3 linked regions of the Macaca mulatta genome follow. The protein of the gene in region 1 purifies or fractionates together with the protein of each later gene. This does not show direct contact. Links are inferred from orthologs where the notes say so. Each region holds a gene or a part of one and is shown on either strand. Other genes may lie near its edges. The genes, in order: MKI67, IFI16 and G3BP1.

The links.
Region 2: the proteins of MKI67 (region 1) and IFI16 purify together in Homo sapiens (affinity purification with mass spectrometry; 3 studies listed by BioGRID and IntAct, with this or other methods). This does not show direct contact. The link is inferred for Macaca mulatta from reciprocal best matches to the Homo sapiens genes MKI67 and IFI16.
Region 3: the proteins of MKI67 (region 1) and G3BP1 purify together in Homo sapiens (affinity purification with mass spectrometry; 3 studies listed by BioGRID and IntAct, with this or other methods). This does not show direct contact. The link is inferred for Macaca mulatta from reciprocal best matches to the Homo sapiens genes MKI67 and G3BP1.

What each region holds. Positions count from the first base shown.
Region 1 is NC_133414.1:140,141,621-140,145,278, reverse strand, and holds part of MKI67 (proliferation marker protein Ki-67), read left to right. Parts: coding exon 1-1,387; intron 1,388-2,576; coding exon 2,577-3,011; intron 3,012-3,658. UniProt on the Homo sapiens protein: Protein that associates with the surface of mitotic chromosomes and acts both as a chromosome repellent during early mitosis and chromosome attractant during late mitosis.
Region 2 is NC_133406.1:107,874,321-107,877,291, reverse strand, and holds part of IFI16 (gamma-interferon-inducible protein 16), read left to right. Parts: intron 1-243; exon of another isoform or gene 244-380; intron 381-1,032; exon of another isoform or gene 1,033-1,232; intron 1,233-1,469; coding exon 1,470-1,889; intron 1,890-2,971.
Region 3 is NC_133411.1:160,744,711-160,747,667, reverse strand, and holds the end of G3BP1 (ras GTPase-activating protein-binding protein 1), read right to left. Parts: intron 2,094-2,957; coding exon 1,887-2,093; 3' UTR 621-1,886; downstream 1-620. UniProt on the Homo sapiens protein: Protein involved in various processes, such as stress granule formation and innate immunity. Plays an essential role in stress granule formation.

The sequences.
Region 1 (3,658 bases):
ATCAGGGCAAAGCACACACACACACAAAGAATTAGCAAGTGGTGATGAAGGCATCAAAGTATTTAAACAACGTGCAAAGAAGAAACCGAACCCAGTAGAAGAGGAACCCAGCAGGAGAAGGCCAAGAGCACCTAAGGAAAAGGCCCAACCCCTAGAAGACCCGGCCGGCTTCAAAGAGCTCTCTGAACCATCAGGTCACACTCAGGAACCACTGACTGCTGGCAAAGCCACTAAAATACCCTGCAAATCTCCCCCAGTAGAAGTAGTAGACACCACAGCAAGCACAAGGAGGCATCTCAGGACACGTGTGCAGAAGGTACAAGTAAAAGAAGAGCCTTCAGCAGTTAAGTTCACACAAACATCAGGGGGAACCACGGACGCAGATAAAGAACCAGTAGGTGAAGATAAAGGCATCAAAGCAGTGAAGGAATCTGCAAAACAGACACTGGCTCCAGCAGCAAGTGTAACTGGCAGCAGGAGACGGCCAAGAGCACCCAGGGAAAATGCCCAAGCCCTAGAGGACCTGGCTGACTTCAAAGACCCAGCACCGGGTCACACTGAAGAATCAATGACTGATGACAAAACCACTAAAATACCCTGCAAATCATCACCAGAACTAGTAGACACTGCAACAAGTTCAAAGAGACGGCCCAGGACACGTGCCCAGAAAGTAGCAGTGAAGGAGGAGCTGTTAGCAGTCGGCAGTCTCACACAAACATCAGGGGAGACCGCGCACACCGACAAAGAGCCGGTAGGCGAGGACAAAGGCATGAAAGCATTTAAGCAACCTGTAAAGCGGAAGCTGGACGCAGAAGATGTAATTGGCAGCAGGAGACGGCCAAGAGCACCTAAGGAAAAGGCCCAACCCCTAGAAGATCTGGCCAGCTTCCCAGAGCTCTCTCCAACACCAGGCCACACTGAGGAACTGGCAAATGGTGCTGCTGATAGCTTTACAAGCGCTCCAAAGAAAACACCTGACAGTGGAAAACCTCTAAAAACATCCAGAAGAGTTCTTCGGGCCCCTAAAGTAGAACCCGTGGCAGACCTGGTAAGTACCACAGACCCTGTAAAATCACAGAGCAAAAGCAACACTTCCCTGCCCCCACTGCCCTTCAAGAGCGGAGGTGGCAAAGATGGAAGCGCCACAGGAACCAAGAGGCTGCGCTGCATGCCTGCGCCGGAGGAGATCACGGAGGAGCTGCCAGCCAGCAAGAAGCAGAGGGTTGCTCCCAGGGCGAGAGGCAAATCACCGGAACCCATGGTCATCATGAAGAGAAGTTTGAGGACTTCTGCAAAAAGAATTGAACCTGTGGTAGAGCTGAACAGCAACAACATGAAAACCAACAAAGAGGAACACAAATTACAAGACTCGGTCCCTGAAAATAAGGTGAGAGGAAGTATTACAACATCACCCAATATCATCCTGGATAGTTGTCAGTTTCTGTGTTATACTTTGCATGTAACCTGACATTATAAGTGGTTATCATGGCCGGGCGCGGTGGCTCACGCCTGTAATCCCAGCACTTTGGGAGGCCGAGGCGGGCGGATCACAAGGTCAGGAGATCGAGACCATCCTGGCTAACACTGTGAAACCCCGTCTCTACTAAAAATGCAAAAAATTAGCCGGGCGAGGCGGCGGGCGCCTGTAGTCCCAGCTACTCGGGAGGCTGAGGCAGGAGAATGGCGTGAACCCGGGAGGCGGAGCTTGCAGTGAGCCGAGATCGCGCCACTGCACTCCAGCCTGGGCGACTAAGCGAGACTGTCTCAAAAAAAAAAAAAAAAAATAAGTGGTTATTTCCCAAATGGGTTTCATTTAACACAGTGAACAACTGCAGGCCATGGTAAAGAATCTTCTTGGGACCTATAAAGGGAACAGACTAATTTGGGAAAAGAACGAGTCAAAAATGATAAAATGATTAATGCAAACTTAGAAGAGTTTCTCAAGAGCCAAATGAGTAATGTTCATCTTCATATGTTTGAAAAATTGATCAGAGGATAGGTGGGTGGTTCAGTTCTATGTTCTAGATACTGTCACCAAGACCAGGACTGGGTTAAAAATAATATCTATGTCACTATTTTAACTATCAGAACAATATCGATAGGGAGTGTGTATTCTTGAGAAGGGGGGAACTGTCTGGACTGTTAGAGAGGTTCCTACTGCATCCGGAGAAGTTTGGGGAAACTCCAGAAATGGTAATTTCCTATTCTGCCTTAGCAGTGATGGTTAAAGGAATAGGAGTTCATTTACTCTCTGTAAATGAATGAATAATGGAGCTTCTTTCTATAAACTGTAAAAATTAGAGTTGATATATGTCTTTTTAGGCATTGTTATTGAAATTTATCCTGAATGCCTTATTTGTAATTTGTCAGCAGAGACAGTCATTTCTCCATAGGAACAAAGTACCAAGGCATTACCTTGACTATCTTAGATGACAGGTTTCTTAGAAAATTCATCAGTGAGTAATTTTCAAATGATTTCTCCTTTTAGTTTACTATTGTTGATTGTTCTCCCTGTTGAATTTTGAATTTGTTTTACTAATTATTGGAATTCTGTGGATGTCTTCTCATTTCTTTAGGGAATATCCCTGCGCTCCAGACGCCAAAATAAGACTGATGTAGAACAGCAAATAACTGAGGTCCTGGTATTAGCAGAAAGAATAGAAATAAACAGAAATGAAATGAAGACCTCCCCAGAGATGGACATTCAGAATCCAGATGACGGAGCCTGGAAACCCATACCTAGAGGCAAAGTCAGTGAAAACAAAAGGTGCTTGAGGTCTGTGAGACCGAATAAGAGCTCCCAGCCTAAGGTGGCAGAGGAGAGCGGAGGGCAGAAGAGCGCAGGGGTTCTCATGCAGAATCAGGAAGGGAAAGGAGAAGCAGGAAATTCAGACTCCATGTGTTTGAGATCAAGAAAGACGAAAAGCCAGTCTGCAGCAAGCACTTTGGAGAGTGAATCTGTGCAGAGAGTAACGCGGAGTGTCAAGAGGTGTGCAGAAAATCCAAAGAAGGTAAGCTATTTACTGTTTTCCGTTTTTAGAAGAGACAGTGTTTTGATCTATTTTTTTGCCCAAGGTTGCAAAGGCAAACAAAAAGCATTATTTTCAACAGCCCTCTGCCAGCTCCCAGTTACATTCATGGAAGGAGCATTATCCTAAGACATACGTTTTGTCATTTTAGTTATATTTTGTTGTGTCTGCTTTGGGGATTCCACTTCAAATAGCAAATTCACATTATGAAGACTTTCTTCAGAAAGAAAAGGAATTTGTCTAGTGGCTAATTGACTGCTTATGATGTACCTCATGATACAATTGCAGGTAGCTGTCTTCAGCCTTTCTGTAGTTCAAAAACACCTATTGAAACAGAAAAGTTCTTCCCCCCCCCCAAAAAAAACAAACTATTGAAACAGAAAAATGTCCAAGGAATTCTTTGGAAAGGTAGAAGGAACAGAGGTTGGGGTGGCCCTGAGACACACGCTGACTATGTGAGAATTCCTGATCAGTGGGGAGTGCTTCTGCCCTCCAACCCCCCTCTAGCCAGAGACTATCTAAGCTAATGAGCTTTAAGTGCTACTGAACTCACATCAAGTTTAGCCACACATAATTACAAGCATGTGGACAAATCGATAAGAATGATTAGATTCCATTAGTGTTCTTCT
Region 2 (2,971 bases), on another chromosome or scaffold:
TATTGCACCAGAAAAATTGCAGTTATTCCATACATTATCAAATGATCCTACATTATTTGGCTTTATGTTGTTTCCAGTATTCTGTGTATTTACAACGAACAGTATAAGATCGCATGCCTCTCAGATCTTTCATTGTCCTCATAGTAGCTTTATAATTATTTCCTTACGTCCTGTGCACCTTGTGTCAGGGTACTGATGTCATGGCTATTGTGAGGTGATTTGATACTGATTAACTTCATTGGGAATGGGTTTCCTAATGCTATGGAAAATTTGCCACACTGATGAGTTCATTAGAGTTAAATCCATCAGAGAGTTAAAGCCATCACTCACAGGTGGCCTATATAATCTTCCGGGTCAGGTCACACTGCTGATCTGTGGAGGCAGCCATCCTGCCTCCATGTTCTGGTCTCTAAGACTCCCTTGATCCCTTCTTGCCTCCATACTTCATCTTCCAGATCAACAGCCTACCCTGCAATTCAAAGTCCTCTTCTACAACTCAGAAATCGTGCAGGCCACTGTGGAGACAGGAGGTTAAAGAAAAGTCCCCTCCTGCCTAATTTTCCAAGTCCATGACTCTTTTTAGTTCCTGCCATTATTCAGATTGGACAGCCTCTAACCTGGGCCCCTTCAGATTAGGGAAGTTCATGGAGTCTTCCAGTGGCTGCCTCAATGATGTTTTTGCAACACAGTGCTGCTTCATTGGAAAGGGCTTTGTGATTTGGGTCTTTAAAATGCCCCTATCTACTAGAATGAGTTCCAACTGAAATCTCATGAAATCTAAGGTTTGTGATTGAGACTATTCCTTACTCTGAGTGCTATTAATAGTGATTTTTTTCTCTATGTTTATTTTTATTTTTTTGTTGCTGTCATATTAGGCAGGAGGGGACTTTTCTTTAACCTCCTCTCTCCACAGTGGTCTGCACTATTTCTGAGTTGTAGGAGAGCACTTTGAATTGCAGGGGCTGCTGATCTGGAAGAGGAAGTATTGAGGCAAGAAGGGATCAAGGGAGACCTAGCGACCAGAACATGGAGGCAGGACAGCTGCCTCCACGGACCAGCAGTGCTCAATGTGACCTAACCTGGGTAGAAAGGAGTAAAATTGAGATTCTTTTAAAATTTCATCTCTTTTGGGAGTCACTTCATGGCAGCTTTGCCTTTACCCTCTGCTTCCCCATACCTCTTGATAGGGGATATGCCTTTTCTTTATGGGTTAATTCTCATCAAAAAAGAAATATTCTTCCTTCCACTCTCATAAAACAATGACGATGATAAAATCACTCCTTAAATCTTTTTAATTTCTTCCGTTACCTAAATTATACTATCTCAGTGATCTCTGTCTAGTTTTCCCTACTTCACCCAGTTAAGGTGATACTTGATGACCAACACTGAGACTGGGATGACTCTCACTAGAGAGTGACCCTGTATTTCCTGTTTTAATTGTGCCTGTGTTTTGGTCTCTACATTCTAAGTTGACACCAAGACTGAAGACTGGACCCGAAGAAGTTTCCACATTAGACGGTGTCCAGAGTGACCTCAAAGAAGTGATGGTGCTGAACGCAACAGAATCATTTGTGTATGAGCCCATAGAGCAGAAGAAAATGTTTCATGCCACAGTGGCAACTGAGAATGAAGTCTTCCGAGTGAAGGTTTTTAATATTGACCTAAAGGAGAAGTTCACCCCAAAGAAGATCATTGCCATCTCAAATTATGTTTGCCGCAGTGGGTTCCTGGAGGTATATCCTTTAACAGTTGTGGTTGATGTGAATGCCGACCGAAAAATGGAGATCCCACAAGGATTGATTAGAAGTGCCAACACAACTCCTAAAATCAGTTATCTTTGCTCACAAGCTAAAGGAAGTTTTGTGAATGGGGTGTTTGAGGTACATAAGGTAAGCCCACACCATTGTTTTATAGTTTCTCCTGCAACCCCAAATTTTTAAAGTCTTGTCAACTGGAGTTTGGTCAACTTACTCAACACAGGAAATCAACCCCTTCACCCCTCCCAGCACTAGAGATAATTGAATAGAGTTCATTTCAGGATATGGGGTACTTTATATCTCAACATTCCTCTTCTTAAGGTGTCACCATGCAAGTTATTTAGAAAGACAGTCACTAGGCTGGGCGTGGTGGCTCACGCCTGTAATCCCAGCACTTTGGGAGGCCAAGGCGGGGGGATCACGAGGTCGGGAGATCGAGACCATCCTGGCTAACAAGGTGAAACCTCGTCTCTCCTAAAAATACAAAAAATTAGCCGGGCGTGGTGGTGGGCGCCTATAGTCCCAGCTACTTGGGAGGCTGAGGCAGGAGAATGGTGTGAACCTGGGAGGCAAAGCTTGCAGTGAGCCAAGATCATGCCACTGCACTCCAACCTGGGCAACAGAGCAAGACACTGTCTCAGGAAAAAAAAAAACAAAAGACAGTCACTAGGGAACTTGGCATTTTATCAGCTGTGATGATCTATTCACAGCCACCCTTGTCCAGGGCAGTGCAGTTTATATCAACACATATATCCTTAGAATTTTGTTTCTTTGAGTTCTGCTCCATCTGCATCAATGACAACTTAATTTAATTGTGAACAAAAGAGTTGCTCTCCCAAGCCTGAATCCTGATTGTGACAATCAGAGTAAGAAATCAAATAGACTACTCTGCTTTAGAATGCAGCTATGTCTAACAGTTAGCTAAAATTCTGATCATTTGGACTTCAAAGTGTTCTTGCCTCTTCTATTCATTAATTCATCAGGAGATTGTTGAGCAACTGACTTCTGCATTAAATAATAAGAAAAATACGAAAGCAAAAAGACTAGAAGAGTCACATAGCTTAACTGCTCAATTTATAAATAGGGGCAATAAAATGCAAAAAAAAAAAAAGCTTCGTGAATTCTTAGGCTTACAGTGTGCCTTTCGGTTTCAACACATCATGTAAATATTATGCTTAGCTGATTTAACTTGTTTGAAGTACTGTTTCGTACTC
Region 3 (2,957 bases), on another chromosome or scaffold:
TCCAAGTAGGAAGAACTCGTTTTGAAATGTGTAATTTAGTATTCACCTGTGAAGGATAATTTCTAGGCTATCCATAATTTATTACCTTGAAGTTACCACAAAGTAATTTTTTTTTTCCAAACTAACTCAGACTAAACTTTTCTTTCCACCCACCACACGCTTAATATAAGCTACACAAGTATAAGTTGTATTTCTTCCTATTATCACTGATCTGGGCCAAAAGTGGTTACCAAAGTTACTTAAACTAACCCTACAAAAAACCCATGTGATTCAGTTACATTAAGTTTATGTAAAGGAGATGCTGCCAATTTTCAAATATTTGAGGAACTGGAACCAAACTGGTAATACCAACTTCAATGTGGTCTTAACCATCACAGCAAACCTAGAGTTTCTCAGTAACGCAAACCAAATATTCCTATGCTATCTTCGAACGACAGTCCTAAAGATGAATACTGTTAAGAAAATAAATACGCTGAATTTTACAACCTGGTTGCCCTTCAATTAGTAATGACAAATAATCAAACAAAATTTGTTTCACACGTGTAAACAAAACCTTCACCCATCTCACACACAGCACTCAACAAATAACACATATGTGAAACGAGTATTAGTCTATATTGCCAGATTAAATTTTCTTCCAGAAATATTTTAATAAAAATTGGCCATTTCCAAGTAACACCCACTGCATGCCCATCAATAAAAGAACCATAACAAAATAGAAAATTTACCATATGGCTATGATTTTAAGAAAAAAAATGCGGACACGAGCACATGAGCAAAGTCCAATATTAAAGTAACATTCCTTCTTACGGGCTATGATTAGGAATCTGATTAGATACCAGAATAAAAATACAAATGCTGAACTATTTAGGTCAAAGAACCTCTATAGAAGCATCTGTCTTCGAAGGCATTCCAGTTTGAGACTCAATTTTAGAATAAGGCATAACAAACACGTTAACAAAAGACATACACAAAGTGATGAAAGAGGGATTCTGTAATTCCCCACATACTCTGGACCTAATAAAACAAATCTAGATTTTTTTTTAATTATTTTTGTTTAAACAATTGCCAAGACTGAAATCAAAGATAAATAGAAGGCACAACAGTTTTGCTCTGGTTGTTATCTAAGTTTTGGGAATTTTTTTGCTTTTTGTTTTTTTACAAATACAAATTAAACATGAAAAAACTACTTTAAAAAACAACAGTTCAAGAAAAGCCTATCCGTTGCATTCTAGACATTTAAAACCTATTATCACAATTTAAATTTCAATGGTAAAAACAGGTTTTAGAATTGTTTTGTGATCCTTTATCAAAAGAAAATTTCTATTCCTTTTATTCAGTTTTTAAACATACCAGTGAGAATCAAAATTGTCAAATTTTCCAATGGCAATTTCTCCACACTAGAAGGTAGTCATGACTCTCAAAGAAGAAACAATTTGGGTTTTTCCTGCCTTCAAAATATTATCAAATCCTGTATTTCTTACAGGCTTTTGAAACACATAGAAAATAAGAAATATTCCAATGAAGGAAACATACCAAATGTCAGTAATACACAAGACATTCCTTTGGGGAAATGGCTGTTAAAAAAAAAATCCAGTCTGTATATGCAAAGTAAGCAAGGAAATTCAGTTTTTTTTTTCTTCTTTAAAAGTCCGTTATTCCTAAAATATCATTCCACAAAATTGGAAGTGAAAGACTAAAGGTCAGGAAAGGGAAGAGAGGGAAAGGGAGCACACACCATTAACACACAAAAAAAGTAAAATTATACAAACTTAAGCAGTTTATAACAGACTGGGGTCATACTCCAAGATACCAAAGGCTGGTCGAAGATTTCACCATTCTGTTGGAACTAGGGTTTGTATGACTGCGTGAAGATCCATGAAGATTCACTGCCGTGGCGCAAGCCCCCTTCCCACTCCAAATCCTGGTTTCTGCACCATGCCTCCACGGGGAGGGCCTCTCATTCCACCACCCAGCCCACCTCGAGGGCCTCCAGGTCCCCGAAGGCGATTATCTCGTCGGTCGCCTTCCCTGGCAGCTCGAGTCTTCTTCTCTTCGACATTCAGACGGACCTCACCTCTGAACATGATAGGCTGTAAGAATCAAGGTGACCAGACTTAAGAGTAGTGATGAGCTATCACTATCAAAGAAAGCTATAATAATGAACCAGCAGAGGCTGGGCAATGGCTCATGCCTGTAATCCCAGCACTTTGGGAGGCTGAGGCAAGTGGATCACGAGGTCAGGAGTTCAAGACCAGCCTGACCAACATGGTGAAATACCATCTCTACTAAAAAAATACAAAAATTAGCCAGGCATGATGGCACACGCCTGTAGTCCCAGCTACTCAGGAGGCTGAGGCAGGAGAATCACTTGAATCTGGGAGGCAGAGGTTGCAGTGAGCCAAGATCGCACCATTGCACTCCAGTCTGGGAAACAGAGCAAGACACCGTCTCAGAAAAAAAAAAGAACCAGCAGATTATAAATCAGCTAAATTCTCACAGTTCAGTTTTTTGTTTGTTTGTTTTTTTAATGCGACAGAGTTTCACTCGTCACCCAGACTGGAGTGTAATGGCACGATCTTGGCTCACCGCAACTTCTGCCTCCCAGGTTCAAGCGATTTTCCCTGCCCCAGCCTCCAGAGTAGCTGGGATTAGAGGCGCCCACCACCACACCTGGCTAATTTTTGTATTTTTAGTAGAGACAGGGCTTTGCCATGTTGGCTAGGCTGGTCTCAAACTCCTGACCTCAAGTGATCCGCCCGCCTCAGCCTCCCAAAGTGCTGGGATTACAACAGTTCAGTTTTTAACTGAGAACATACAATTTACCATTAACAAATACCTGGAAAGGTGATTAGGTAGGCAGGCCAGTTTTAAAAAGCCATTTTAAATAGCACAGCAGCACAAGTTAACTCTCATCGTACTTATTTTTTCTCATATAATTATGTAAATTGAATAAA